Linked DNA regions of Daphnia pulex. The protein of the gene in region 2 purifies or fractionates together with the protein of the main gene of each other region. This does not show direct contact. Links are inferred from orthologs where the notes say so. Each region holds a gene or a part of one and is shown on either strand. Other genes may lie near its edges.

Region 1 (4,790 bases), on a different chromosome or scaffold from region 2:
AAAGAATGAAAGGTTAGACGAGAAGGAAGAGACGCCAGTCTTTTGACGAAAGTTTACGACTCTCCGGCTCTTACCCAATCCGAATCGTAAATGATAACCGTATCAGCAGAAGTTAGGGTGATGCCAAGACCACCCGCTCTTGTGCTGATGAGAAACACTGATGTATCCGGATCGTTTCGGAATGTGTCCATGTCTGTGGCTCTATCTTCCAGGTTCATTCGTCCGTCCAATCGACAGAACTTCATATCTCGCATTGACAGGTAGTCAGCCAGAACGTCTAACAGCATCGTAAGTGTACTAAATATCAACACCTGAATAAAGACAATGATGATTAAATAAAATTCACGAAAAATTAAAAAGATATTTACTTTGTGACCATCTTTGATCAGCCGAGTTAACATTTGATCCATTACAGTTAATTTCCCCGAGTCCTTAACCATGCTCTCGTCAACAACGTATTCTCCTATACAAGAAAATATTAAAAAATATCCCGGATTTATGAAACTTGCAACCCACCTGTCTCCGCATCAGTTTCCCATTTGACAAGATGTGGGTGGTTGACAATCTTTTTTAACTGCATAAACGGATTTTGCATTTTGATGTTGGTAGACTTCGCTTCGATACTTTTCTTTTTCCTACAGAAATGATGGAAAATCAATGTGTTACACATTTATGTATAAAAAAAAAAAATTATAATTACGGTTGACGGAGTTCCCAATGCAAGTCATTTGACATTTTCATCCACTCTTCAATATCTGCATCGACTTTTTCAGCAGAATCCTTCTCCAAGTTTTGCGTTTCCTCTTCAAATCCCATGGTCGAGTAATTTATGTCTAGCCTCTTGGCTTTCCGCTTAGGTCGGCCGTTGGCTTGATACTCCAATGGCTCGGGTTTTTTATCGAACTTGATTTTGAATGGGTTGGATAACTCATTATTTTCAGAGATTTAAAAAAATTTGCATTTGAAAGTTTACCTCCGCTCCTAATACAAACGCGATAGTTTTGTCAATTGTAGCGCGATATAACTCATCTTGAATTTTGCTCATTGGACAATAAACGATAAGCTCTTTCTTCTTTGGAATTTCCAAGTCGACATCAGTTTTGAGACGACGTAGGAGAAATGGAGATAAAATCTACAAAGGCATCGATACAGCATTTATGTTATCTAAAGTAGATTCGAAACGAAGGAATAAAAACGTACCTGATGAAGCATAGAAAGTACATTTTCTTTGCGTTCCAATTCAACGATTTTATGGTCTGTATCTGATCCTTGAAATTCTTCAACACGGAACCAAGATGTGAAAACGTCCAAGTCATCAAAAATTTCTGGCAGCAAAAAATGAAGCAAAGACCACAATTCTGATAGATTATTTTGCAACGGCGTTCCAGTCATCAGTAGACGATTATTCGAGGGATATTTTTTCAACTCCCTGTTGAAATAGTAAGGGTAAATTTGTAATTGATAATACGTACACAAAATTAAAAAGATGTACGTACTGAACTAATCGGCATTGATGATTCTTAAGTCTGTGACCTTCGTCAACGATGATGTAGCGCCACTGCAAACGCCCCAATGATTTCGTTTCTAAAAAAAGAAGCAAGATTTATTAATTCAATCGTATTTGAGAAAAGTTCATTAGAAACCTCGAATGACCACTTCAAATGAAGTAATAACAACAGGATAGAATTTGACGCCGTCGATTCCAGGTATTTTAAATTTTTGTTTGATTTCCCCAAAAATTTCATCCCGTTTTTCCTGACTTCCGTGGTAGAGTACTACAGGTATCTGTAAATAATTATATAAAAATACATAATAATATTTTTGCCAAACAAAAGTATCAATAAAAGCAGTAGAACTATTTTGTTTTTGCTTACACGAGGTGTGAACCTTTTAAATTCCGCTACCCAATTAGTAAGAGTGGAAAGGGGAGCACAAACAAGGAAAGGTCCTGTAACTCCCTTACCCATGAGATGGGCAACTAGTGAGATACATTGAACTGTTTTGCCGAGACCCATTTCATCTGCTAGGATACCGTTCATTCCGTTTTCATAAAGAGACTACGATATAAATAAAACAGAGAAATTAGTGGAAACCAACAGTTCATGCAAGGATACTTCATACCACAAGCCACTGAAATCCTTCCATTTGATATCCTCTCATGGTACCTCCTTCAAAGAGATCAGGAAGTTTTTCATTAACTTTATCAGTTTTCTCAGCCTTAGCAAGTTCTTCTTCATCATGATCCTCAAAATCTTCCTCCACCTGGCCAAAAAAAAAACTGTAGTTATATGTGCACTTTAAATGTATAGATAAATTTTACCTTTGCTGCACGTTTCTGAAGTTCTTCTTCATCAATCACATTCAATATGTTTGCATCAGATAAATTATTCTTGCGCATCCTCTTCCTTGTTGTTGTATCAGTTTTCTCACTAGGACTAAGCAATTCAGGTTGACGCTTGGCTCCTCTTGTCTTCCTTCCTGACTTTGGTATCTCTGATGGTGTTTCTTCAGTCTTGGTGGTTCCATTCTCTTTTTGCTTATTCTTCCCTGCTGCTTCCCTTTTGGATAACTTTTCTTGCTACATGTAAAAAATAATCACTATAAAATATGAATAGAAAAACTCTAAAATACACTGATGGATATATTTACTTTCATTTTGTCTTCCTCCTTCTTAGAGTTCATTCTTTTTAGGAGGAAATTGGCATAAAACTTACTACGATCAAGCAAGCACATCAACCTTTTGTATCTCATTTCATCAGCATTTGAAACTTGATTTTCTGATTTCCTGGCTTCAACCAATTCAGATTGTTTATCATTTTCTTCCTTTTCAATTTCCCTTGCAAGATTTTCTTCTTCCTTAATTATATCATCTGGCAGGCCTGTTGATTATAAGACCACAATTTTTCACTGAAGTGAAATAATAACTTGTAAAACGTGATTTAAAGGCATACTTATAATTTCTTCATTGATGAGAGTCTCAGACATTTTTTTAGAAAGAAGGAAACAGCCTTCTATAAACGATAATTTTGCATCGTTTAAAATGAAAGTTTCTTTTAAATTCTAAAACAAAGGTAGACATGAATATTTTAAGGCTTACCTTTCAACAGAAAAAATGAATGAACAAAGGCGTTTCAGGCCGTAATCAGGTTTACAAACGAATGTATGAGCGGAATGCAGTAAAAAAAAGCACGCGGTTTATTAAGTTAACTCTATTCAAGACTAATAAAATGTAAAGAGAAAAGAGTGGAACACAGCAAGAACGGGTAGATGAACGACTGCATTCACTGCAATTGTGCAAAAGAATTAAAGAAAAAACAAGTTATGTCAGTGGCGCGAAACAGCGCCACAGTGCGGGTAGTTTTCTAGTTACGTACAACTGATAATAGCGGCTAGCGGCGCACCTAGGGAACTGCTACTCTGCTAGTGAGAAAGGGGTCAGCAGAAGTCAGAAGAATAGAAGCGGGTTTTACGAAGCGCTCTCGGTTTGATCGGTTTGATCCTCAATCGAAATCGGGATCTAAGTGTTTTCAATTGTAATCACATTTCTGTTCAATTGCGCCATTTAGTTCTGATTAATCTGATGGAATCGAAGATTGCTTAACTTATATTTGTTAAAAAAAAAAAAAAAATTACCTCATTTTCTAGAAGGGAACTTCTTCGGAACTAGTCCTTACCGAAGGCTATTTAACACAGACAGGAAATCACTTGGTTTATTTACCAATGATTTACTTGTTTAGCCTACTTCTCATTTCTACCGTGCGTCACTCATACAATCATATTCACAAAATAAACCTAGAATGGATTTCCCCATCTGACGTACGGGTTTTCCTGTCGTCCATACAAAAGATAACCTTACGACAAGCTTCCTCTCTCGAAAGAAATTCGATCGTTTACCCGCCCATTCGCTTATTAGATTCGCTTGTCATCTTCGGTTTGAAGAGTAAACCCAACATGCCATCGAAATTCTGAATCTAACCCGAGGACAATTTTCGACCCTTTCTTTTACTTTGTTTGTGTCAATAAGTACTCAGTGATGCAACGTACCAAGACAAAATATACCTTATCATGCTAATAACTTCGATGTGAAGTTGGCTATTTGAATTTTTAAAAGCAGAAAGCCGATGAATACATATTCTCTGTTTACTTACAACGTCCTCGTGCGACGTACATGAATGATATAAAAGGCAAGGTAATTTCAGTTTTTGACAGCAATCTTGTCTCGAATCACCTGTCAGTAAGACTCATTCGTCTCTTTTCTTTGAAAACCTACACTACACCGTTATGAAGTCTTTCGTGGTAACTTAATTTCTATTTGAATATACTATAATTTTTAAAAAGGTTTTTTCTATTTTTGTCTTACGAAACAGATTATTCTATCTGTTCTGTTGAGCTTCTTGACTTTCAGCGGGTTGGCCCAGACGCACGACGTACAATCTTTCTCTGAAGAAAAACCGTTCACTCCGACATACGTGGGGAAAATGAAATTCGCAGATGTTGTTCAACCGCAATTAATCCGTCATTCCCGGCATGCGCCCTTTCTTGCTGGAGCAGCAGTTGGAGCAATCGTAGCGAACAATCGTCATCCTAACCATAACGCTCCCAGCTACTACTATCCGCCTAGTTATTATCCATCGGGTCATTATCATACTCACGGGTAGAAACTTAAATCAGAAGGTTAATTTTTCTGCAGTTATGAAACAACAACATCTCATAATCCCAATAACTAATTTACACACATGACAGATCTGCCAACAACCAATACCAATGACCAATACATTAGCCAAATTTAC
Region 2 (4,971 bases):
TCGTCTTATAGAAGGTGAATTGATAAAAAATGTATTGCCTACCAAAGATGTACGTAGGTAAGAGAATTCCTTAGAACAACAAGGCACAAGCACAAGATAAAGAATATTGCCGCCAAATAAAAATTTATACCAAGTTAGCAACACTTAGAAGTTAGAACTTGAGCAGACGATTTTCATAGTTTATCCGTTGGGAAGCGGTAAATGCGGCGGAAAAGTCACTAAATTGCGGAAACTCGGCGCTTGAAAAAGAAAAACACGCAAGCCGACTCCCATCGATCGGAGATAAAAATTAAAAAGGTAAGACACTTTTTAAAAATAGAGAGAATTGAGAAAACTTAGAGTAAATATGAGAGCTAAAACTATGAACAGAGATTATGTGTGGGTTCGACTATTTAAGTTTGACCGCTTTATATGCCAGCCACCAGTAAAAATTCAAAATTTGTTCTATCAGTCTCACAATCAAACTTGTTTTTTAAAAAGTGTATTGTATTGGGAGGAGCAAAGAAGCAGGCACATACATCTATCAATTCAGAGGTAGAATTTGAGTTATCTACTCAGACGAAGCCTTCAAATTACCAACGAAAACTGCTTCCACACAAATATATTGTGGTTTTAATTGTGATGCCACTTAAAACTTTTCAAACCAAAATCGTCGAAAAGTCGTGAAATATTTGGAAGGTAAAACTAAGCACGGAAAATGTGGACTCGGCCGCTTGAGTTGCCGCCAGCAAAAATAGGTACTGTCGGGTGAAAAGCGTTTATTGAAGTCACCGATGCCAGGAAATCCCCGTTGAAGTTATGGAGGAGTGTGCCGGAGGGAGCGCCATACAGTTCCACCTATTTAAAGAGTCAGTTCTATTTATTTTGTTTTCTTATTTAAAAAGAAAGTTGTTTTTCGATTTTATTACTCGTCTAGGCTGTTCCATGCTTCCAACGATAAAAACGTCATCCCGTTGTGGATGCCAAACAGCTTTGAATGGGGTGAGCCAACGTCCAGTGAAGTTGTTATGATATATGGACTTGATGCCTGTTAATAGATTTTGTTTTTCTTTCATTCCCATAAATTTCGATTAGGTAATATTTTATTTTATTTACACTCTGGTTCGGATTTGCCCTTCTGGACATCATACAACTTCAAGGTGTCGTCGGTACATGTAGTCAGGGCGTACTGTCCGCTGATAGGAGAGAAAAACGCTCCATGAACTCCTTTTGGAGCTTTCGGGAAACTAACGACTGGCACGGCGAGGTCATTATTGTTTGTAGACGTGTATCGCACATCAAATATTCCTATTTCTCTGAAATCAAAAGAAAAATTTTAATAAGACAATTAATTTAATTAATTTTTTTTTTTTTTTTACCCGTAGCGATTGCACGTCATGAAGAGATTTTCATCCTGTGGGTGTAAACTAACTGTTCTGGCGCTCATTTCAAAACATTGGATCAAGTTTGCAACGCTACCAGGTTTTGTCCGGCAGTCAACTACCGCTACATCTCCGTTGGCTACATATAGCATCACAATTCGGGTAAAAATTTGTTTATACAGTTTTTTAAACTTATTACTTACACTGTGAAATGATTAGGGTAGATGGGTCTTTCTGAGCGTGATAGGCTGTCCACGTTTTATTCGTTCTTTTGATCGAGTAAACCTTATGATCCAAGACAAGTTGACAGGAGATTAACGCCTTCATAATTTCACAAATTTCTGATTCATGTTCCTATTTCAAGTATATTACCTCATCAAACACGTTGGAATGCAAATCTAAGCATCGGACATAACCATCGTAGCTAGTGGTTAGCAATCTTGTTGAGTTAAACTTATCGAAAGTTATGCAGTTGATTGGTTGGTTGTGAACCTTAAACGCCCGAACGCCTTGATGTTTGTCGTCAAGCTTATCAATATCCCAGAAACCTGTGCAAATTAATGAGATTTGACAATTTGTTTCACTTGGCAGAAAACAAGCAATGTATGTCATTACCAATGTTCCCATCACGATCACCGACGGCAACAAGGAGCTTGCAGTTACTCGGATGCCAAACAAGGGAATAAATTCGAGACTTGGACACCTTGGCTACTCCTTCCTCGTTAATGCTGAAGGATTTCATCAATTTCAAGAAATCTTGTTGATCTGCAGGTAATTTTTCTAATTCACCCTCTTTTTCCAACAAAGGAATCATTTCTTCTATAAATTTGCTGTCATCAATTGACTCTTGGTCCAAGTAGGCATCAGCTAATGTAAAGGTACCTAAAATTAAAGATTTTTAGGCTTAGCTTATAACAAAAAAACTTTACTGCATTTACCTGATTTATTAACTTTGGGATTACTAGGCCATTGCTTGATTTCATCGTTATCTTTCATAATGACAAATTCTTCTTTAGGTGGCTTTCTGCTTCGTAAAGACATTCTCAAGGGAGGGACTTCAATGCTATGCAAAATATGTTTGTAAATCTTTTCTGCAATCAATTCAAGTTATTACATACCTTTCATCCATTTTCCTTTTTAGTCCACGTTGAGTGGCTTTGTTTACCTTCTCCCTAATTACTTCACTCTCAAAATCCTTTTTGGCGTCCCCAACAAGTTCTTGGAACATTTTCCTTCTTTCTTCAATGTTTCGTTGAATTTCCTTTTCATATTCTGACATTTCAGAATTGGCTTTTGTAATCACATTTTCTGTCTTTTTTTCACTTTTTTTGACAGGTGTTTCATTTTCCTCATTAGATCCCTCAGAGGATTCACGTTCATCTTTGATCACTTTTTTGGTTGGTGATGTTTTTTGGGGAGTTTCCAGATTCAATTTTTCAATAGAAACATATGGATCAAGAACTGTGAAGTAGTTTTTAATTGTTGTCTTCGTTTTAGGAGAAGAATCTACATTTCTTGGTGGAGGAGACTGGACTGATAATTTTTCTGACACTCTTGCACTCCTTCTTGCCATTTCTAAGCAAAAAAAAAATACGTATTATTTAGAGGTCATCTACAAGGCAATTTAGTAACGAATAACTCACTAGTATCGATGATTATAATAGATTGAATGTTTAAAAAATTAGTCCCGTACAATGGAACACCATAATTTTACGAAGCACGATAGGTGATTGTATTTTACACGTTGCAGAAATCTTCCAATTCTAGTTCCAGAAACACGCTCTAGAAATTTGCCGCCAAATCCAAGGTACATACAAAAAGCTTTTAAGCAGACGACTTTTTTCAGTTCAAATGCCGCGGGATTCAAACTTGGCACTCGAAAAAACCCGCAAGCCTCTACGGAAAATTTTCATCATCGGGATATAAATGGTAATCGCTCCAGGAAACATAATTTTATTCGAATTCTTTTTTTTTCTGCTGATTAAATGTATTTCAAATGAAATTCACCCAGGGTTAAAGCTACAAACACCCACGACCAAAAGTCCAAAATAGCATAGAACCTCAAGCAGAGAACTCGAGTGGATATATGGCAGCAAAGGACCAGCAGCTTCCACACTGTAAAAATATCATAAAGAGTAAGGTAAATATAGTTAAAAACGCAACAACTTTTCTGGATAACTGTAGAAAAACGAAGAATTACCGCTGCTTGGTTTCGAATTGGTGCCATACATTTATGCTTGCGATAATCCAACTAAATCCCCAACATTTTTTAAATAATTATTTAGAAACTCGTAATATTCTTCTCAGTTTTTAAAATCAAAATCAATATTTAAAATACGTACAGTAGCAGGGAGAGCTTGGCGATTTTCACGGCTAATTGTAGTCATTAGAGTACTTCCTTTTTCGTTGGCTGGTTTCTTCTTTCTTGGCTCCATCAGTGCGGCGATTTTAAAGTCGAACTAAATTTGAATTATTATTATTATTATCCTTTCATTCATGTAGTATGTAGTTACAGATTTGCTGTAAATTCAATTGGCACATTTGAATTACCCGAAGGGTTACTGGTCAAAGTTTCGTTTACAGTATGGTTTACATGGGCACCCTCAGTTCTCGTAACACAACATAGATGGCTGCACTAGTTTTTGGCAATTATTGATTGTAATCAACAATTTAATTGCATTTCAATGGCAGCAATCGGTAGCTTACAATTTTTTACATCTATTCTGAAAATTTGGCTGCAATCAATTCAGGCGTTTGATCAAACGGAGTTCTTGTTACTTTTTGACAGAATTTCAATAGCTGTTAGAGCAGACGATAATACAGAGACATGTGACAGGATGACAGCATCGTCTCTATTGAATATGACCAGCATGACCCAGGATCGAAGAAAAAGCGTAGAGTACCGCCGTTGATTGTTGGACCATCTCTAGCCTGTCTTATTTTTCTTTTCAAAATTATCATCCTGTTGGAGTAATATTGTAGGCTTATGATAGAATAGAAGTCACTGTATGTTATTACCTAACCGCACCTAACGCTATCAATCTCCAGTAAAAGAAGTGCTGATAGGTAGTTACTTACATTTAATTTTAACAACATCCGGTGTGACGTGGGGTGGCGGGGCGAAGCCTCCGCCGCACCAAAGTCACGCCTTACCCTTACGCCGCGCCATATCATATTAGGTTTTTGGGAATTGAATTTGTATTAAATGTTTGGATAGAAACATGCGGAAATATGCTTTTCATCTCTTTCTCGATTTCTGCATATTACATTCTTCCGGAAACTAAGGGCATAACATTTTTGTTTTAAATATTATTAATTAATCTTAATAATAGGCCTACCTTTATAACAGAATATTATTTTTATTCTATAACTATTCTATAGCTCTGCCTTTATAAAACTATACCAATACAGCAATTCTACTATTCCAACTAGTATACCCTTAACATCCCCTTCGGGTACCTTGCGGCGTACGTACGCTGCCTACAGTGGTATCTATTACCATATCAGAGAAAACGTTGTGATCTTGTTTGAATTTATTATTACGGTCCTGGTGTAACATAGATGGAGCGTCGGTCGTTCAGACGATTGCCAGTTTTATTGTTTTGATTTT
Region 3 (4,799 bases), about 2.1 Mb from region 2:
GTTGTACCAACTCGACCCCAAGCACGGAATACATGCCACCTGTCGAATTAAAAAAAAAAAAAAAAAAAAATTATAGTTGTTATCTACAATTGCCACTGGGGGAAGCGAAGCCAATTTACTTGTTTCCTTTGTCGTGTTCAAGAATTTGAAGCTTGTAGTAAGAATTTCTTCCACCTTGAATGTCAACGATCCCAAGTACAACGCTGTACAGACCATTTTTCGTCTTCAGGACATGTGCTTTATCTTCCAAACCAGAATCGGGATCAACTACTCCTCCTCCTTTAAGTTTCAGCTTCAGTTTATCGGACATGCCTGAACCAGATTTTTCTGCAAACGAAAACACAATTTAGTTACGAGATTCAGCTTCGTTTTTAGCGTGAAATAAATCAACAAATATGTTAGTCGCGTATCTGTCTATGAGGGCAGACTTGGATCCCTTCATAGTCATCAGACGACTCAATTAATTTAGGATTGAGTTGTGACCTTGAACTTGATTTACTTGCAAGTTTAAAGCGTATGACTCCCCCATACTTATACTACAGTTTTTACTGGGAAACATTAAAAGTAATAAACAGTCCAACCAACCTGAGCCTTTCGATTTTCCAGAAGATTTCGTGGCACCCGACTCGTCCAAACCAAGACGCTTCTCGATCTAGATTTATTACAGTTTTTAAAAAATCTCAAAAATTAGGGCAATAAAAGAAAAAAAATTTACACTGTGGCAATCCCATGGTGCGATGTTTTTCTTCGTTATAATGGATGAGGCAGATTCGCCAGTGCTTGCTTTGATTGCATCCAAAAAGCTAAGGTCTACAACATGAATACCGAGTTCAGACGCTTTCTTCAACTTTGAATCCTTTTCTTTTAAATTGTCTGTAAAACAGTAATACCACATATAAAGGCTTAATCTCATAAGAGAAACTACCCACTCAAATTTCTAACCTTTCGTAGAAATTACGGCTGCAATTTTTTCGGTAACGCGCGAACCTACAGAACCTAGTAATTTTTTTATTTCAGCTTCGACTTTTTCTTTAGACTTTTCAAGCTTGGAATCAAGAATGAATTTCAAGCCTTCTAGTGTGGGTGGGCGTTTCGAATCGGATCTAAAAGAAAAAGAAAACATTAATAGACAGAACTAGCACGTTATCTAGTTGAGTAAATAGCTACTTTTCTTTTTTCACGTTCACTTCTTCGGTTGGATTCATACGAATAGTGCGAGTTAGCGCTGGGATTACCCTCTGTCCGGGAACATATTTGTACTTTTTCCTATAGAAGAATGAAGTTTAGAAAGTAACTTAATGTATGGCAACAACAGCCTTATTACAAAAATGAGTAATTTTCCGAGAGGTCCGATGGAACTTTGAATGGTTTCCTTTCGGGAGTTGTTGTCGAGTTGGGGCACTTCGTCCAGCCACTCATGTTTCCAGAGCATTGATAACCCATGCCACTCCTGTTGTAGAAGAAGAAGTAAATCTATATAGGTAAGGCTTACCGACTTGAAATTTCTATTATTTTAATCACTTGTAGAAAAACTGTCCACTTTTGCATTCATTGCATGGAAGCAAAGCTCCAAACGCCATTACATCGGCAAGAAGGTCCAACATCTAAAAAGATAAATAGCTGCATATAGTTTAACTATGCGACATATTGATTAACACTCAGAAGAAAATAAAAATATTAATAAAAAGTGCAAGTACTTCAGATGTTCCAGAAGGAATTTGCTGATCGTTGTATTCCAGCAGAATCTGGAGTTCTTGTTTTGTCAGAGTTTCCAACTGGTCTCTGTATTTAAACTGAATTTTATTTTGCTTCTTGATCTCTTCCTTGAGCTGTTCATTTTCTTTTTCTTCTTTCTTTATCTTCTTTGCATCCGAAGGTCCGTCGACAGCATCCCCGTCAACTTTTCGTTTGCTGAAAAAAGAAACCGTTATAATACATGATTTTCCAAATTTCGATTCTTGTCAATACTTAGCGGAAAGAGCAGGGAGTTCTTTTGAGAGAACTTTTTTGTCGTCGGCAGTTAGATCTTTAAATCCAGGGATTGTATCCACTCCGCTAACAAATTCTAATTCTTCTCGTCGCTCTTTAAAACATTTGACGTGGTACCACATATCCAACATTTGTCCATGTCTCATGCCTCCTTTGGTGTCGTATCCTTTCTTTGATATCCTCAATTCATCCTACAATTTGAACATTATAGACATGTTTGAACATGGATCGTTTTAGAACTTGCACTTAATGATTATAATACTTTTGCAATTTTTTCTAAGCAGCCTCGACATGCAGCTCTCCCAGATTTTGCATACTCAATTAGAAAATCAGAAAAGGGTTCAGCAACTTTAGCTGTTTTCCCCTTGCCTTTTCCTTTTTTACTTGGTTCAGCAATCCCACCTTCACTGATTTCTTTGGAAAAAGGAAATAGTTAGAAATCAACTAAATACAATGTATAGCAATATTAGTAATGTTTTACTTTTGAGCATCTGATTAATTTTCTCTTGATCTTCCCAGCGCAATTGATCAAAATGTTCAATGTCACCAGCTGATTTGGGCCGTTGCCTTTCAAAAAAGCAATCAAAGTGGTACCACGAAACCATTTTCCCATCAAATTTGGCAGCCTAAAACAACAATACTGTACTAGTGTACAAAGTCCAGAACCAAACAATAAAAAATAAAATGTTACCTGAAAGATTACAGCAAGTCGTAGAGTGCCTTGAGGAATGTTTTCTTTGCATTTCTTGCAACTAGCTCGACCCGTCTTTGCATATTCTGCTCGAAAAGGTAAATCATCCGCCATCGTTTTCTTCTGAAAATGAACGTCCCACGATTTCTGGGATTTCGGAAAAATCACAAAAAAAAACACAATTAGCATTAGCAGTTCATAATTTTAAATGAGATTGAAATGGGCCATACCTATATATTCCAATTTCCAGTGCACTCAGATAGTTTGAATTCTTGATTCTTTTAACACAATCTTTTCCACTACTTCGAGTACAACGTCCTCCAAACTTCGCAGTTCGCACTTCGCAGCCGACAGAGTTGGGCACGTTTTTAGGTAACAGTAGAATTTCGAGATGGCGCGCTAGGAACAAAACAGTGTTGTCAGATGGGGGCTCCTAAGTGGCGAAAATGGAGAAAAGTTTATTTAGAACTAAAAAGAATAAGTAATTAAATTTCAATTCCACAGTAACGTTTAAATTTTTATTGCTGTAATACATGTTTAACGACCCATTTCCTCTTTGAACAAAAACAATGTTTCTTTTTTTTTTTAAATAGCAAACCAGTTGGCGCCACAAGCTGTGGTCGACAGTCTGTCAGCTGTTTTGTTTCCGACAAATCAGTATCGGATTTTGCTGCAATTATGACACTTCGAAAGAGTTTCTTTCTTTCTTTTTTCGTCCTTTTCATCTTCTCATTCATCAGTGATGTATTGATTTTTATGTTTACTATTAAGAAAACATTGCTTAGAAATTTAATGATTTTGGTTTTGTTTGTTTTTGTCCTAATAGGTGAATGCACAGTATGAGGATGTCAGATGCAAGTGCATTTGTCCAGATACCGCCGTAGTAAACGGAACTCAGTCACATAGAAAACTTTACATTGAAAATGTTCCACCTAACAAATGTGATTGTACAAATGTTGTGCTCCCAAGGGTAGGGGATGATATCAAAGGAAAGGAAAAAGAATTTTGTCCACGATGTGAATGCAAGTACGAAAGCAGGAACACAACAACAATCAAGGCAAAAAAACTGTTGACATAATGTATTGTAGACTATTCTAATATAAATTTTTTTAAATTTCAGGTTGTTGTAATTATTGTTATCTGGATAATATCTCTACTAGTCATATACATGCTGTTTCTTGTTTGTCTTGATCCCCTTCTCAACAAGAAAACCACTACACAATATCAAGAACATAATAATGAAGAGGTATTCTATAAATTTCTCCCTTTTCTTCCTTCAATCATCTTTTTAACTAATTTATCCTACAGGATGAAAGTGAAACCCATTCTCAACCTTTAAGGGCAAGTGGAGCAGGTGTGCTCAACCGTGTTGGCCAAACTACTGATAAGTGGAAGAAAACTGTTCAAGAACAACGTCGACATATTTATGATCGACACACTATTCTTAACTAATCACTTTTCTAAATTCCAATTCTATGATCTGTAGATGTTTGCGCGTTTATTCTTATTCTTATTTCAAATATTTCATTCACCAACGGAAATAAAAAAATTAAAGTCTCATATCGTAGAGTTTAAGATTCTTTTTTCATTGAAAAATATCAGAGGGAATGTAACTTGGTAGGATACATTAGTAGGTTGCTGTAGGCCTACTAATCATGCGCGAAACTAGAATGCAGCCGGACAAGTCATAAAATCAAGATTCAGAAGAAATTTTCGTTGGTGTCTATTTGATAATATACAAAAGTAATAAATCATATTACCTCATTATTTTTATGGTTAATTCGCTAACCAATTACTTCATTAGTCTTCATTAGCCTGCGAGTCCCTGGCGAGTCCAGTCTTGTCCAGTCTAGCCAACTTGGGATTTGCTCCCACTATTTACCTATTTCAGATAAAGTGGATGTGGAGTTTGGAATGACTGTTGCAGACGAATTTAGTTCAAATTGAAAATTACAAGTTTAGAAGCACCCAAGCCATCAAGCACGTGTTTATTAAGGTGCAACAAACGAAGAAATAACACTTAAGATGGGACGCACATTTAAGAAAAAAAGTTCAAAACCGAAACCAGCAAAGAATGACGAGCAACTAAAAGTTGAGTCTACAGAGTTTCAGTTGGATC
Region 4 (4,626 bases), on a different chromosome or scaffold from region 2:
CTCCTCCTGAGGTAGGTGGTGGTTAGTCAACATTTTCAACATATAGCCAAAGTCATATCCACTGTGGAATGACAACCACTTGATGTTATCCATCAAAACAATCCCAGAAGTCATCATCAGCTCAGCAAAATCTAATGGGTCTATGCCTTCTTCTTCATGTTTTTTGAATTGGAGACCAGAGTTCTGGAGCAGTTCTATACTGTCCTGTGCATACATATCTTCCCTATTAAACAAAGATTAAGATTTATAGTCTTCAGATGAGAAATAATTTGGTTTAGAAACCTTACCCAAGATTAAACTTGAAATTGAATTGCCAGGTAGTGTACCCAGAAGGTGTTTTGCCGTCTTTGTTCAGGAAACTCAAGCCCAGTTGTATGATTTTCAGAAGATCTACATTACACTTTAAAAGCTGGTATTGGTAATCAGCAGGGCTGCGAAATTCACCGATGGGACGGGCAACTACTCCTGGGAACTCAGTATCCATGGCTACATAATTGTATGCTTGTACAATCTGGCGTATATGTCTAAATTCGTCTTCCAAATTGTGAGCCCAGACTTCCCGAATCCCACACTCTTCATTACTAGGATGCATATTTCCTATTTAAAAAAGTAAAAGTGTAAAAATCATTGTCCTAGAAAGTTGATTTAATGAAATAAATAAAGCTAGTTACGATTTATACCAGTTGAAGTTGGCATGGCTATGGATAGTGAAGTTTCAGAAACCCAGTGATCACACTAGATTACACAAAGAATCAAATTCGTATAAACTAGCATATCCAGCAGCACATCACTCGAGCCTTCAAAACAATAAATTGATAAAAGAACCCTACAATTAATTCGATATTAACACCACTAGGTTAAATTTAAAATGATATTTGACACATCGACTCAGTGGGAACTTCACCTGAAATGTTTTCCGAGTTTTACAACAGCCTCTATATATATACAGTGGTGCCATCTTCGAAAATAGCGATAGATTGTTTGACAGAAAAAAACAGCTGACAAACGAAATGCGGCGATAGCCCCTTAATAAATAAAGCGCGAAACAAAATACGGAAAAAATATGGAACGAGTGAACGACAACCCTAAAACGTCAAATTGAACTGCGGAGCGGGAGTTTTCGTTCATTACAAATGTTGAAAACGCAAGACAAATCGATTAACAAAAGGACATATTGACATTATTCAATACTCACAAGTAATTATGTTTTTCAAGGAGTACGTAAACCAAAAATACTTGCCTTTGTAAGATGCTAACTTGCTCAGAGTAAGAACTCTAAAATAGGTTGTAAACAAATTAATTGGAGACTAACTTCAAACCGTACTTCCAAATTCGATCGTTGGTTCCAATCTAATAATCTGGCGGAAGTAATGCCAAACTTAATATTTTTGCAGATATCGCACGCAGGTAGGGCCTATATGATGTTCAAGTTGAATCTTTTGCATGTACGTTCCGCGTTTTAGTGTGACTCCGAGGCGACGTCCAGCGGCAAAGGATCAGGTTCGTCTAAACGGTTTCCAGCTACACCTTTCTTCTTTCTGCCACAGAGAGAAGTCCTCGTGCTTGTGGTTGAACGTAATTTTGCAAGTCAGAACCGAATCACTTCAGCCGGCTATCTAAAAATGGTACGATATTCGTCATTTCTCGTTTATTTACTTGTCTGTATCAAAGTCGCAATTCACTTTTCAATAATCAATTGTGAAAAGTCGGTTTTTTTCTCTCTTTTATGTTTTAATGGCGTACTGTCATTTGACAGAAAGTCACATGGTTGATATGTAAATTTGCTCATACTGAATTTTTTCTTTCTGAGTAAATGGAACCAAATGATCATGTAATCTTTTATAACTTTATGTATTTTTTAGGTCTCACTCAACCCAACCAGAATCTTGAAACATGAGGGTGAAGAAGAGAAGGCTGAAATTGCTCGCTTGTCCTGTTTTGTTGGTGCCATTGCCATTGGTGAGCTGGTGAAAAGCACTCTTGGTCCTAAGGGCATGGACAAAATTCTTGTTGGTGTTGGCCGCAATGAAGGACAAGTAGGTTTAAGATTTTTCTTGTGCTTGATTTTACTTAGTCATTAAATTCCTTTGTTAGGTTGAAGTAACAAATGATGGTGCCACCATTTTGAAAGCAGTTGGAGTTGATAATCCTGCAGCTAAAGTCCTTGTAGACATGTCAAAGACCCAGGATGCTGAAGTTGGGGATGGCACAACTTCAGTGACTGTCCTGGCCTCAGAGCTTTTGCGTGAAGCTGATAAGCTTGTTGAAATGAAGTTCCACCCTCAAACCATCATTGCTGGATGGCGTAAGGCCTCTCAGGCTGCCAAAGAGGCTCTTACTAATGCAGCTATTGATAATGGGTAAGATAGACATAATAGTTTCATTTTGCACAAAAGACCAACACAACATGTATTTGATCAATGTATTGATTTTTTTTAAAATCTCGTTTCATTTATAGGAAAGATGAAGCTAAATTTCGCGAGGATTTAATGAACATTGCTCGAACGACTTTGAGCTCAAAAATTCTTTCTCAGCACAAAGAGTTCTTTGCCAAGATCTCTGTCGACGCAGTTTTACGTTTGAAAGGATCAGGTAACCTTCAAGCTATTCAAATCATCAAAAAGCAAGGAGGTACCCTCACAGATTCCTTCCTCGACACTGGGTTTCTGCTTGACAAGAAACCGGGAGTCAACCAACCAAAGAGGGTTGAAAATGCCCGTATCCTTATTGCCAATACACCCATGGACACAGATAAAATCAAAGTAATTTAAACTTCGATGACTATCAAAGAATTTGAACTTAATCCATATTTTTAGGTTTTCGGCTCACGTATCCGCGTTGATTCCGTTGCTAAAGTTGCAGAATTAGAGTTGGCTGAGAAAGAAAAGATGAAGGAGAAGATTGAGCTCATTCTTAAGCACAATTGCACCGTCTTTATCAACAGGTTTGTCATTCTTTCATAATTCTTTCATTAATTTGAAATTTGCTATCTTATATGGCTTCAGAAATTCTTTTGTTTGTTTATGAAATATTTGAGATTCTGTCAGTTAGCTTATTTATTATCCATGTATTCTAGAATTTCTGTAGTAAATTTTATAATTTATGGTTGATTTTTAAATCAAAAATTTTTTATTTGTGTGATTTTATAGACAATTGATCTACAACTACCCAGAACAACTGTTCGCTGATGCCGGTGTTATGGCTGTGGAACACGCCGACTTTGATGGTATCGAGCGCCTTGCGTTGGTAACTGGAGGTGAAATCGTCTCTACTTTTGGCCATCCCGAACTTGTCAAACTTGGACGCTGTGATCTTATCGAAGAGGTTGAGCAACTTTCACTTTCTGGTAGAAAGAAGAACTCACGTAATTTGTTTTTTAGGTCATGATTGGTGAAGACAAATTGTTGCGATTCTCTGGCGTTCCATTGGGTGAAGCTTGCACACTTGTGTTGCGTGGTGCAACCCAACAGATTCTTGATGAAGCTGAACGTTCAATTCACGATGCTCTGTGTGTTTTAGCTTCGACTGTTAAGGAAACACGCACCGTCTACGGTGGAGGTACTATTTTTGTATTCCATGTTATCCGTCGTGCACCTGGGATTTTACCATTTTATTTCAAAATCCCAAGGTTGCAGCGAAGTACTCATGGCCATGGCAGTATATGCTTTGGCTGCCAAGACTCCGGGTAAAGAATCGATGGCTATGGAGGCTTTCGCCCGCGCTCTTCTCCAGCTACCCGTCGTGATTGCCGACAATGCGGGCTATGACTCAGCCCAACTTGTGTCAGAGCTCCGAGCAGCACATTCAGAAGGGAAAGCCACCTTTGGTCTAAGTATGTCGTCAGAAAATCTTCATGTTGCACATGCAATTCTAAAATGTGTTCATTGATTGTAAATAGATATGGATCTCGGCAAGATCGACTGTATGCAGCAGTTGGGCGTGACTGAATCGTTCGTTGTCAAGCGCCAGGTGCTTGTATCAGCAGCTGAAGCGGCTGAAATGATTCTTCGCGTTGATGACATCATTAAGGCAGCACCTCGCCGTCGTGAACAAGACAGGAGTCATTGTTAAAGTTGCACTGTCGATGCACAGCTTACGTCCTAACTTGAACTCGCATCCAGTTTTTTCCCCCCTTAAGTGGTCCGCTCTTTTTGCTCGAGCCCACTCTTTTGCTTCGTCCTTCTGTACTGGTCCTATAATCTACTACAGCTGATACACTGAACAATTGCTTAGTAAAAGAAGTTAATTCTTGTTCTTCTTTTTTATATTAGTTTCTGCTCTGTTAGTTAATCCAGCTCTAATATACTAAAAGGCTTCTCTTTAGAAAGCTATGGTATTTCCGTACGACTTAAAAATGGAAACGTGAGCACAATCTCATTAGAGCTTGGTGTGTCAAGCTTTCTCGCCCGTGAAGCCATTTTTCCAGTTTCTTTTTCGAGCCGAAATTTTTATCTAAAAGCAACAGCTACTTATTTTTCGTTTACACAGAAGAAGGAATACAAATTGCTTTCAGACTATCATTTTATAGTTCACTTACTCAAACCCAAAAACTCCCTTTCGGCAACTCGCCCTACCGGCGAGGCCGTCGAATACGGAAAAAGAAAATTTTCGTTTCCCTTGGGACGA
Region 5 (4,832 bases), on a different chromosome or scaffold from region 2:
ATTGTCGTTCGAATCGCTGCATCATCTGCCTCTAATCCTTTGAAAATCTTTTACAAAATCCTTTCGTTGTCAAAGTAGCGCAAGCTGAACACACATTTCACGATGAAGAAAAATTGCCATAAAAGCGACTGCCTTTTCTTCGCTGATGCTCCGCCTAGATTACACGTCACGGTGAACAATGCAGAAAAGCCAAGCGAAGACAGAATAAATGCTTCAATGAGCTTCCCAGTTCGGCTGAACTGAACGTCTGAATTGTCAGCCATCAACATCATTTATTGTTCAAACTCGACATGCCGATTTCCTCAAGTCGCAACTAGCGTGATCCCGTTTTTCTGTGTAATCCCTATCCGGAAGCCTTTGCACTCAGATGCTATTCTAGTTTCGACATCCAAACGGAGAACGCACACACTCACATCCCAATCGTCAATTTTGATTAAGTCACTCGAAATGACAGCCAAAATAAAATAAGCTCTGCTTAAGTCTTGCCACAATGTTTCCATTATTGTCATTGAGTTATCAAGATTTGGTGATTGACTAAATGTAGGGATTCGGTAATGATCTGCAGTCAACAAAACCTGTGATAACGCATCGTTTTCTTCTACAAATTGGAACAGTGACATCATTAGCAATGGCGAAGCAGCACAACGGATCCTAATTACAGTATGAGTAATGATGAGTAAACATGACAAGACAGGGAAGGGCTACAGAAAAAGAACCAAGCTTGAAAGCTTGAAGTGACATCGTTTATTTCGTGTTTACCAAAGGATGTCAAGTCGAGATAGGGGGGCCAAGATTCCCAGAGTACAAATTCAAACGAAAAACAGTAATCTTGATTGTTCTTTCACTATATGCCATGAAAGGCAACGATTCACCTAACCAGCGTGACGGTGAACAGTCGACCCCCCACTTCTTAATTTTGCTACACTGGACGAACAAATGTTTTCAGAACGACAAGCAATTTTTTTTTTTTTTTAAAGTCGAGGAAAATGTTTTTCAACTTAAGATAATTCAAGATTTGAAATTTGGTTATAAAGGAAAGGGAATCGCCGAATACGAAAAACAAGATCGACTTGTTTTCGCTTGTGAATCTACTGATGGGCGCACTGTACACCTGGTCCTGATGGACCTCCCTCTTCATCGTCAGAATCATATGCGTTGCTGGGTCCGCCAGCTCCGTCACGGCGTTCATTGGCGTCGTAATCGTGAAGGTCAACCTCCTCGACGTGCTCTCCTGAGGGTGGAATGACTGAGGGTCGTCCGGGTAAAAGTTTCTCGATCGCCTATCGAATTTCACAAATAACAAAATTGAACATTTTGTTATTTCATTAACTAATCCACTCCCAACTGGTTTTCAAGAATTAATGTACCATAATTGTTGATTCATCAGCAAAATGGCTAGAGGGGAACTCTACGTCAAATTTAATAAACAGCTCTCCTTTTTCGAAAGGACTACGGTAACGAGGCATTCCTTCGCCGGGCACCATCTTAGTGCTGCCGGGTTCGACTACGTTTCCTGGTGCTTGTCGGATCACCAAATCACGGCCGTCGAGATGCTATTGGCACCAAAATATAAAACGGTAGAATAAAAAAATCTGTCGAAAAGAAATCTTACAACAACTAACCTTCAACACATAGCAGAACCCACACAATGCTTCAGTCAGAGTTATAGTGTGCATCACGCAAAGATCGTCTCCTTGTCGCTTGAACTTTTCATGGGGTTTCTGTTGCAAAATTATCACTACGTCGCCAGCTTCAACTCCGGGCTATTGGAATATCACAGTTATAAGACACTGCAGATCAATGAATGTTTGTAGTGCAAAATACCTGTTGATCACCTTCACCGCGAAACAGAATTTTCTGTGAATCTTTCATGCCTTTGTCGACGTGAACTTCCAAAATTTTGGTTTCGTTCTGTACTTTCTTGCCTTTACAAGCCTTGCAGCGATCTCTCTCGTTGATCATCTCACCTGTAAGATTAATTCAACATTAGACAAGGAAAATTAAAATTTCCAATGGTTGTTTACCTTCTCCATTACAGGTTGAACATACTGACTGAATCTGTTGCATCATACCAGGTCCAAGTGGTCTCAGGGAAATTTTTATTCCACGACCTTGGCAGGTTGCACAAGTAACATTGGCTCCAGGTTTGCCACCTTGCCTGTAACAGAAAAAAAAATTTGTAAAATACTGGCCAAATCAAATGACATAAAAATACACATACCCACTGCAAAGAGCACAAATGACATTCTTGCTCAACTGGAGCTTGGATGTCTTTCCATTGTAGAGGTCTTCCAATGTCACTCTAAACATACAAAGACATGTTAAAACCTAGAAACTAAAGCTGCACACAGCACAAAGAGCCTTACTTGAGAGGGTGCACAGTATCTTCTCCTCTTTGACGAGTCTTTCGACGACCACCACCTCCCATACCTCCAAACAACCCACCACCAAAGAAATGGGACAGGATATCATCGGCGCCAAAACCACCATGTTCATGTACACCTTCTTGCAATCCTTTCAGTCCATGTCTGTCATAAACTTCTCTCTTCTTTGGATCAGACAAGACTTCATAGGCAAATGATATCTCCTTAAACTTCTCACCAGCCTCAGGGTTCTTGTCAGGGTGGAACTCTTTGGCTAGTTTTCTGTAGGCCTAAAACAGATAGAGAACATGTTAGCAGAAATCAGTTGTCATTACAAAACTGCTAGATAAGTAGCCATTGTTCCTAGACATGCCACGACATGACCCTGAAAAATCGATAGTTTGTTCTTGGAATTTAGAGTCGTATTTCGGATTTTAGAATATTTTTGCTTCACAAAATTAACACCGAACACATAACTACCTTTTTGAGTTCAGCATCGGTGGCTTTGGTTGGGACACCAAGGATTTCGTAAAGAGCATTGTCAGCCATCGCAGATTTTTTGACCAGCAAGATTGCAGAACTTCTAGTAAAATGGTAGGTCTAATTTGTCCCAAAGGCCGCACCACTCTCCTTCTGAGGGCAGTGAGGACAGCAAGTTGGTTCTTTTTGAGGCAACCATCATTAAGGAAACCAGCTAGAGTCACCCAGCGGCGACTTGTCCAATTTTAAGACGGAGGGAATTATTTGTTGGGAGATGAATTTTGTTCCTTTTATTATAATTGAAAACTAAAATTTTAGTGTCAAATTTTGTTGTACTATTTCATGAAAAAAGAATTAACGATGGGAAAACATCACCATCTTCGTTAATTGAGTTCTATTTGATTGATGAGTTCTTTTCCCTACCGCTATGTGGGCATAGATGGTTACTGAAAGATGATTGGCTCTTGTCCAAAGAAAGAATCGGCCTTGTACATCAAGTTATCGGTGAAAGCATCATTGCCATGTTTTTCTTTCTCATCCCGAGCTGCGCAATGGCCTCATTCTTTCGGATGGGAGAATGAATTTTCTGTTTTCGGTGGCAGAATACGAGAGAACACTCAACTCGGTACTCATTGAGGCTAGGTGGTTCTGCAACTTATTAATTACTAGCTCATATAAACATGGTTAAAATATCGACCACATGCCTAGAATGCCTGCCGAACCCACAAATTCCTGCTTTGCGCTCATAAAAAATTTTAATTCGGAGCCATTATTAGACTTCGAGGAAAGCCACGGCCCATGGCTTATCTCTTTTTTATTCAAGGTTATATCATATTTTGTTGCAGTTTGTATTCATCTGAGAAAAAATTTATGTCTCTGATCACTAACAATGGGGCGAAAGTCGAAGTTAATAGGTATAAAGTAAATTTTATATGCTGCACTGATTATAAGAGTGAGCTGTAATTTTAGAATTTACTAATTTGCTCGTGATAAGGGATGAGCATGTCAATGTCATACATAGAGGTTTTTCCTGTTATCTTCCAGACTCGAAAAACAAACAAAATTCGAAAATACGTTGTGCCAAGTTGGTGTTACGAATGTGCTTGATATTTAAATAAAGTTGATCCAATCGTAACAACCTCTAGTTATCGCATTGTTGTATTGGATTTCATAATCAGTTTTATACAGGTAACTGAAAAAATATTTGAAAAATGTTCATAGCCAATGCAATGCTCCTCGAATAATTTATCAAAGCAAATTAAACTTAGACTAGCCGAACCAAATTCCGTATGAACGGAGAAAAATAATTTGTTTTTGGCTCGGCGGTAGCGGCAGGGGAATAGTTGATAGTGCACATTCCTAGACGTTTTTGTCTAGGTCTCTGCCGAACAGCGTTCTTCCCATTTCCATTTGGCTTTAATAGTGCAGAGTATCTTCGTAAAATTGCTGTCAACCTACACTTAAGAACATGCCAATGAAAATTATTCGTTATGAATTCCGTCTTACTTCTTTATTTTTTTAAAATTCTATTTTGTCGTGTGAAGAAGAAATGCATCCATCTCCGCTGAATTAAGGAAATAATTACGGTGTAAAGCGCCAAAGATTAGAACTGATAGAGAGAACAAAGAGCTTTAATTTTCAAAGCACGAGCCATTTGGTACGAGGATTTCAGTTCATGTTTGGCGACTGGTACATTATTATTAGGAAAATATTCTGCGTTTTTCCCAGTTTATTACTGAGAACAACGACATCTGCTGTTCCGTAGGAGGAGGGCACTATTGGCTTCGAAATTGTCGAGTCTAACATTGAAGGAGGAATTCCTAGCTGGAATGCACCTTTAGCTTCGCTCGAATTGGTGTTTCGGCATAACTTGGAATTTTTGGACATTTAGAAGTGATTTTCACTCCTAAAAAGTGTTGGAAATAGTTCAACGATATCATCTTGTTGAGACACCGTGGTCAATTTCTGGGTTTTCCTGCAAATTCATGG
Region 6 (4,651 bases), on a different chromosome or scaffold from region 2:
TCCTTACGTATGTAACCCACTGGAATGGCAGTTGGAGGATAAATTGCTTCAAACTAATTGATAAAAATAAATTGGGTTAAGCGAAACGAATTTTTACTTTATAATATAGAATAGGGTTTATACCTTTAGCAAATGCCGCTGAAGAGCATAGAGTGGATGAGACTTGAACTCTGAGATGCTGGTGGGCATGGGTCGATCAGTGAGGCTTTTTTCCATGCTTTCGTCTTCGGCCTTGGATCTGGGACTAGGTTTTTCTCGATGAATATTCAAAAGTTTACTCCAGGTAGGATGTGCTCGCTGTTTGCGAGTAGTCGACAAAAACGAGGAAGCATAGCGGGCTGTTACATCCTTCCATGTCAGATCAAAATTGTAAGCCACTGCGTATAGAAGCGGATCGGATGCGTTCCGCTCTAAATGACGATCACAATGAATCTGACCAGAAATGACATCCACACTCATCCACTGTTCTTCCTGTTCTAAATAGACTTCCATCCATACGTCGGTAGTTTTCTTCTTTTTTGCTAAAGCGTCGCCTTCACTGTCAGTGGAAATGATTTTCTTAGACCGTTTTTGAGCATTACTTTGAGCAGCGTGACTCTTGTTCTTTGTCGAAGTTGTAGATTTCTCTTGGATTTCGGAATCATCAGAAGTGGGTTCTTCATACTCGTCAGAAGAACTTTCCTTGTTACGCTTGAGAGTAGTTTTCGATTTTGGTTTTTTAAAGTCGCCTTTAGTCGTACTTTTTTTAATCTCCTTCGGGGAAGTCTTTTTCTTATTAACAGAAGTTTTACTAAGCGAAACAGCTTCTTCCTCCGTGTCATCAAAAGGGGATTCTTCATATTTTACTGGCTTCTCAGCTGACTTTCTTCGACTACGTTTGCGTAAATCATTCGGTGGATCAGAATTCTTCATTTGAGATGTTGAATCCTTGATTTTTGAAGTGCTAGGCCGCGACTTATGAGCTTCTTGGGGGTTTGCGGCACTTTTAGTTTTTGGTGATTCAGGTTTGAGACGACCTTTTCCAGCTGTAGCAAGAGCTTTACCTTTATTTGAACTGTTTTTCGGGTTAGCAATTGTCTGCTCAGATCCTGATTTAAAAATAAGAATTTACCGATAATCCCAGATTGACCAACATTAACAAGTTTCCTTACCAACAGTAGATTTTGCGGATTTCTTGGTCCTCCTGTCAATGACGCACCGAACGTCAGATGTATTAGCTTTCTCTATCTGGACAGGGGAATGTTTCTTCTCTTTTGTTTTCTTATTTTGATCTGGCGATTTCTGTTGAAGTTCACTTGAATCCACTTTGGCCGGTAAAGGCTGAAGAGATAAAACCAGCCGAGATAAAATACCTAATGAACGGCACACGGCAACGCAGGTGTAAACTAATTCTTCAACGCTCTGAGCTTTACCAGAGGAAATACAGTTTAATATGTCTTTTACTTCTGGATTACTTTGGGTTACTCTCGGTGTGCCCACATTAAAGTGTTTTGCTACCCATTTCATAAATTTTTCTAAATAATTAAGATCGGTGCGGTTTGGTGGGAATCCTGTTGGTGGAACAACAGACAGCGCTGAAGCCATCACCACTGGATCACAGAGCATTTTATTGACAAGGTAGCCGTGCGCTAAAAGCCCAACTAATGATACCTGATGCAGATCCTGGGGACAGAACAGAAATGATTAAATTTATCGATTTCAATAATTATATAAACATTTTTCATACCATTTGAATTTCCTTACGTATTCGATTGATTTTAAGACGAATAAAATTTTCAACGTCTCGTCCCTTCTTTTTATGTTTCAGCCCTGTAACTTCGAGGGTGATTTCGACACTTTTAGGTAGTTCTCTATCTTGTTCAGGGACATCACATGATGGCTTTACTCTTTCCCAGTTTTCATCATCATCTTCAGAGCAAGAAGAGTCTTGAACTTCTTCTTGTTTTAGCATTTCAGCTAAACTGATTTCATTAGTCTGATTTCTCTTTACAGCGTTTTTGGTCCTTGTTTTGGTAGGAAGTTGCTTTATCTTCTTTCCTCTTGCTTTAGTTGAAATGACTTCTGTTTTCATTACTGATTCATTTTCTTGTTGTGATTCATTTTTTAATGCTCTCAAATTTTGTATCCAGGGATCGACACCAGTTGGAGAAACATCCAACTGTTCCACAAACTCTTTTTGTAAGGAAGTGCAATGCGATCTTTCTTGATCCTCTTTCATACATAAACTATTTGTCATTACAGAATCTTTATTACATTGTTTTTTTGAAGCTGATGTGGTAGTTAAGCAGTCATTTTCAGAGTCTGATGAGTCACTAAGATCAAGTTCGGATTTCATTTTAGAGATATCATAACTTACAGGTTTGAACCCTACATTGATTGGAGCTTGTGCAACTACTTTTGCAATTTTCTTTCTTGGAATGTCTTTAAAACTGGTTTCTGAATGTCTATAATTTCGTTTAGCTTTAGCCAACTTGGCAGCAGATGTGGATAAAGGCTCTATGCTGGTTTCTTCGTGATCTTCTGTTTCTTTGTCTTGATTCACAAAATCATCATCCTCTGAGCTACACACAATTTTTGGAGGTGGTTCTTTTAATTCATCATCATCACTTTCATGGTAGCTTACTTGATTTCTGTTAGAAGATCGAGTGATGTACCTTTTTCTCTCAGCCATATTTTCTTCTGTTTGAGGGCTTTCAGATTTCCTCTTGTTAGCTCCTTTATTTGGAGCCATTTTAATTTAGATAATCTCGTTATTATCTTTGCTTCGTAAATTTTTTAACCCACGCGACTGACTTTGAAATTTGATCCGTAGCTATTTAATCTTCAAGGACAAATAAAAGAAACATTTTTTTTCTATAAAACCAACATCACTCTTAAGCTAAAAAATCACAAAACTTCAATTTCTGACACTGTTGAATTTGAATGTTGATTTGATTCAATTTGATTGATGCAGTATACAGCAGACGACGATGTTATAATAAATAATACTCTGCATTCTGCAATCCGAGGCCCCGAGGGGTTATTTTATTATAGAGTGACATCTAGGGCCAGGGTTGAAAAGGTAAATTTAAAAGGTAAGTGAAAAAAATTGGTGAAGCGGATGAGCGTAGTTTAAAAAAAACGCCAATATATTAAAATTTTTATTGTAATGTTGATAAATTTGGACACCCAATTTATAGAGCATTCTTGATTCTCGATGAAAGCTTGAAATTTTTTGAATTTCCCTGGCTTGGGAGAAAAAAAGGAATTCGTATGAAAAAAACTTCTCTCTCTTCTTAATACCAATTATTCAGCTTTTTTTCGTGTACCTACCTAATTGATTTGTTAGTTACAAACGCATTCACAATCATCATCTTTAGACCAGAGAATTCCACAAATTGCCCCTCTTGAACCCGGAATGAGAACAGCACTCTTTTCTTTTATAATATTTTTATCAAATTTCATCCAGCAAATGCCTCCCTGCCCCTGAATTGCAAATTAATTTAAAATTGGTTGTAAAGGTGAATTGAAATTCGCGAAAATGTCATTTGATTACATTACTTCAACATTTGTCCAAACGAAGTGGTTACATGGCGGGTTTCGTTTGCAAAGCTCCCCACAGAATTTTCCATCGGAAGGTTCTTTTTTTATATCATTTCCAGGAAAGTTGCAATTATGGGACCAAAATAAATCGTTTTCCAGCTTCCATGATATCACCAAGTATCCACAAACAGATCCTGGAGAATTCAAATGAATTCTTTTTTCGGGTAATATTCCGCCCGATTTTGCCCAACAGGTTCCATTCTATAAAAAAATTCTCCAAATTAAAAAAAAAATAAACATCACAGATGGTTCATATCAGTTTTACATAAGGGCTATCTACATTTTACAAGTTACTATACTTTCCTGTGGAGAACGGACATTATACGTCGCATACAGCTCAATACACTATAGCGATTAAATGCGTATAATTGAGGCACAAACTTAGCAATGTCCACTTTCGGGTACTGTAAAACTGTAAATACATGCCTATGTAAATGACAAATACTTGCACATACTTTATCGGAAGTTGTAGTTGTAAATGTGAAATGTGTACAATCTGCAACATCAAATTGGCAAAAACCTCCACATTCTTCTGCTTTAATTGTTTTATTTACAACATGATTTCCTTCAAAATCACAATTGTTGTCCCAGCGGGTGCCTGCAGCGGACTCCCAATTTTGAAGGGCCATTTCAGTCTTGATGATAAATAATGCCATCAAATATGAAAAAATGTTTTTCATGGACACCATGTTTAGACTTGTGTTGTGAAATGCCTACGACAAACAACTAATTGCATGAGTTCATTTTATTTCCTAACCGGAAAACAAAAACCACAAAATAAAAGCTAATAAGCTATAGGGCTCTTTCGGATCTGTTTTCTTTAGCCGTTTTATCTGGCAACGCAGCATGGCTGGTAGACTTTTTTAGCTCGAGAACGGGGAGAAGAGGGAAAATGGGACTTTCTTACTGAAATTTATACTGTATAAAAGAATCTTCTGGATTAGCTTATTTCACTAAGATCTTAAGTCGTTTATAAATCCCCTTTTCTGTGAGCTCAGGAAACCTCGCTTTGCTTGGCGGTATGGTTTTTACGTAAGGGGTGGAGCCACTCCAGTACATCACTAGCCCA

The links.
Region 1: the proteins of WD repeat-containing protein 76-like (region 2) and lymphoid-specific helicase-like purify together in Homo sapiens (affinity purification with mass spectrometry; 4 studies listed by BioGRID and IntAct, counting the BioPlex papers as one, with this or other methods). This does not show direct contact. The link is inferred for Daphnia pulex from reciprocal best matches to the Homo sapiens genes WDR76 and HELLS.
Region 3: the proteins of WD repeat-containing protein 76-like (region 2) and poly [ADP-ribose] polymerase 1-like purify together in Homo sapiens (affinity purification with mass spectrometry; 4 studies listed by BioGRID and IntAct, with this or other methods). This does not show direct contact. The link is inferred for Daphnia pulex from reciprocal best matches to the Homo sapiens genes WDR76 and PARP1.
Region 4: the proteins of WD repeat-containing protein 76-like (region 2) and T-complex protein 1 subunit beta-like purify together in Homo sapiens (affinity purification with mass spectrometry; 4 studies listed by BioGRID and IntAct, with this or other methods). This does not show direct contact. The link is inferred for Daphnia pulex from reciprocal best matches to the Homo sapiens genes WDR76 and CCT2.
Region 5: the proteins of WD repeat-containing protein 76-like (region 2) and dnaJ homolog subfamily A member 2-like purify together in Homo sapiens (affinity purification with mass spectrometry; 3 studies listed by BioGRID and IntAct, with this or other methods). This does not show direct contact. The link is inferred for Daphnia pulex from reciprocal best matches to the Homo sapiens genes WDR76 and DNAJA2.
Region 6: the proteins of WD repeat-containing protein 76-like (region 2) and DNA repair protein complementing XP-C cells homolog purify together in Homo sapiens (affinity purification with mass spectrometry; 3 studies listed by BioGRID and IntAct, with this or other methods). This does not show direct contact. The link is inferred for Daphnia pulex from reciprocal best matches to the Homo sapiens genes WDR76 and XPC.

What each region holds. Positions count from the first base shown.
Region 1 is NC_060026.1:9,601,609-9,606,398, forward strand, and holds the start of lymphoid-specific helicase-like, read right to left. Parts: upstream 3,322-4,790; 5' UTR 3,098-3,321; intron 3,012-3,097; 5' UTR 2,986-3,011; coding exon 2,952-2,985; intron 2,880-2,951; coding exon 2,650-2,879; intron 2,579-2,649; coding exon 2,321-2,578; intron 2,263-2,320; coding exon 2,122-2,262; intron 2,058-2,121; coding exon 1,875-2,057; intron 1,786-1,874; coding exon 1,644-1,785; intron 1,585-1,643; coding exon 1,497-1,584; intron 1,430-1,496; coding exon 1,201-1,429; intron 1,133-1,200; coding exon 974-1,132; intron 904-973; coding exon 701-903; intron 636-700; coding exon 517-635; intron 464-516; coding exon 369-463; intron 312-368; coding exon 75-311; intron 1-74. UniProt on the Homo sapiens protein: Plays an essential role in normal development and survival. Involved in regulation of the expansion or survival of lymphoid cells. Required for de novo or maintenance DNA methylation. May control silencing of the imprinted CDKN1C gene through DNA methylation.
Region 2 is NC_060024.1:10,606,299-10,611,269, forward strand, and holds WD repeat-containing protein 76-like, read right to left. Parts: upstream 3,177-4,971; 5' UTR 3,005-3,176; intron 2,937-3,004; 5' UTR 2,935-2,936; coding exon 2,480-2,934; intron 2,425-2,479; coding exon 2,300-2,424; intron 2,244-2,299; coding exon 1,977-2,243; intron 1,910-1,976; coding exon 1,734-1,909; intron 1,647-1,733; coding exon 1,565-1,646; intron 1,501-1,564; coding exon 1,359-1,500; intron 1,296-1,358; coding exon 1,096-1,295; intron 1,028-1,095; coding exon 909-1,027; intron 838-908; coding exon 685-837; 3' UTR 466-684; downstream 1-465. UniProt on the Homo sapiens protein: Specifically binds 5-hydroxymethylcytosine (5hmC), suggesting that it acts as a specific reader of 5hmC.
Region 3 is NC_060024.1:8,492,530-8,497,328, reverse strand, and holds the start of poly [ADP-ribose] polymerase 1-like, read right to left. Parts: upstream 3,069-4,799; 5' UTR 2,911-3,068; intron 2,828-2,910; 5' UTR 2,795-2,827; coding exon 2,681-2,794; intron 2,616-2,680; coding exon 2,471-2,615; intron 2,404-2,470; coding exon 2,252-2,403; intron 2,181-2,251; coding exon 1,969-2,180; intron 1,912-1,968; coding exon 1,698-1,911; intron 1,605-1,697; coding exon 1,522-1,604; intron 1,451-1,521; coding exon 1,325-1,450; intron 1,267-1,324; coding exon 1,168-1,266; intron 1,104-1,167; coding exon 943-1,103; intron 874-942; coding exon 716-873; intron 653-715; coding exon 586-652; intron 328-585; coding exon 120-327; intron 40-119; coding exon 1-39. Other genes in the region: uncharacterized protein CG1161-like, read left to right, coding at 3,359-3,424, 3,507-3,737, 3,801-3,926, 3,989-4,132; U3 small nucleolar RNA-associated protein 18 homolog, read left to right, coding at 4,706-4,799. UniProt on the Homo sapiens protein: Poly-ADP-ribosyltransferase that mediates poly-ADP-ribosylation of proteins and plays a key role in DNA repair.
Region 4 is NC_060023.1:8,135,238-8,139,863, reverse strand, and holds T-complex protein 1 subunit beta-like, read left to right. Parts: upstream 1-1,445; 5' UTR 1,446-1,622; coding exon 1,623-1,625; intron 1,626-1,862; coding exon 1,863-2,036; intron 2,037-2,094; coding exon 2,095-2,360; intron 2,361-2,458; coding exon 2,459-2,762; intron 2,763-2,816; coding exon 2,817-2,944; intron 2,945-3,149; coding exon 3,150-3,324; intron 3,325-3,380; coding exon 3,381-3,558; intron 3,559-3,628; coding exon 3,629-3,832; intron 3,833-3,898; coding exon 3,899-4,071; 3' UTR 4,072-4,241; downstream 4,242-4,626. Other genes in the region: CCR4-NOT transcription complex subunit 7-like, read right to left, coding at 1-223, 288-597, 672-696. UniProt on the Homo sapiens protein: Component of the chaperonin-containing T-complex (TRiC), a molecular chaperone complex that assists the folding of actin, tubulin and other proteins upon ATP hydrolysis.
Region 5 is NC_060020.1:3,557,582-3,562,413, forward strand, and holds dnaJ homolog subfamily A member 2-like, read right to left. Parts: upstream 3,012-4,832; 5' UTR 2,913-3,011; coding exon 2,844-2,912; intron 2,654-2,843; coding exon 2,367-2,653; intron 2,303-2,366; coding exon 2,222-2,302; intron 2,159-2,221; coding exon 2,025-2,158; intron 1,968-2,024; coding exon 1,825-1,967; intron 1,764-1,824; coding exon 1,623-1,763; intron 1,554-1,622; coding exon 1,368-1,553; intron 1,281-1,367; coding exon 1,089-1,280; 3' UTR 730-1,088; downstream 1-729. UniProt on the Homo sapiens protein: Co-chaperone of Hsc70. Stimulates ATP hydrolysis and the folding of unfolded proteins mediated by HSPA1A/B (in vitro).
Region 6 is NC_060026.1:11,145,213-11,149,863, forward strand, and holds the start of DNA repair protein complementing XP-C cells homolog, read right to left. Parts: upstream 2,987-4,651; 5' UTR 2,732-2,986; coding exon 1,727-2,731; intron 1,663-1,726; coding exon 1,152-1,662; intron 1,089-1,151; coding exon 124-1,088; intron 54-123; coding exon 1-53. UniProt on the Homo sapiens protein: Involved in global genome nucleotide excision repair (GG-NER) by acting as damage sensing and DNA-binding factor component of the XPC complex. Has only a low DNA repair activity by itself which is stimulated by RAD23B and RAD23A.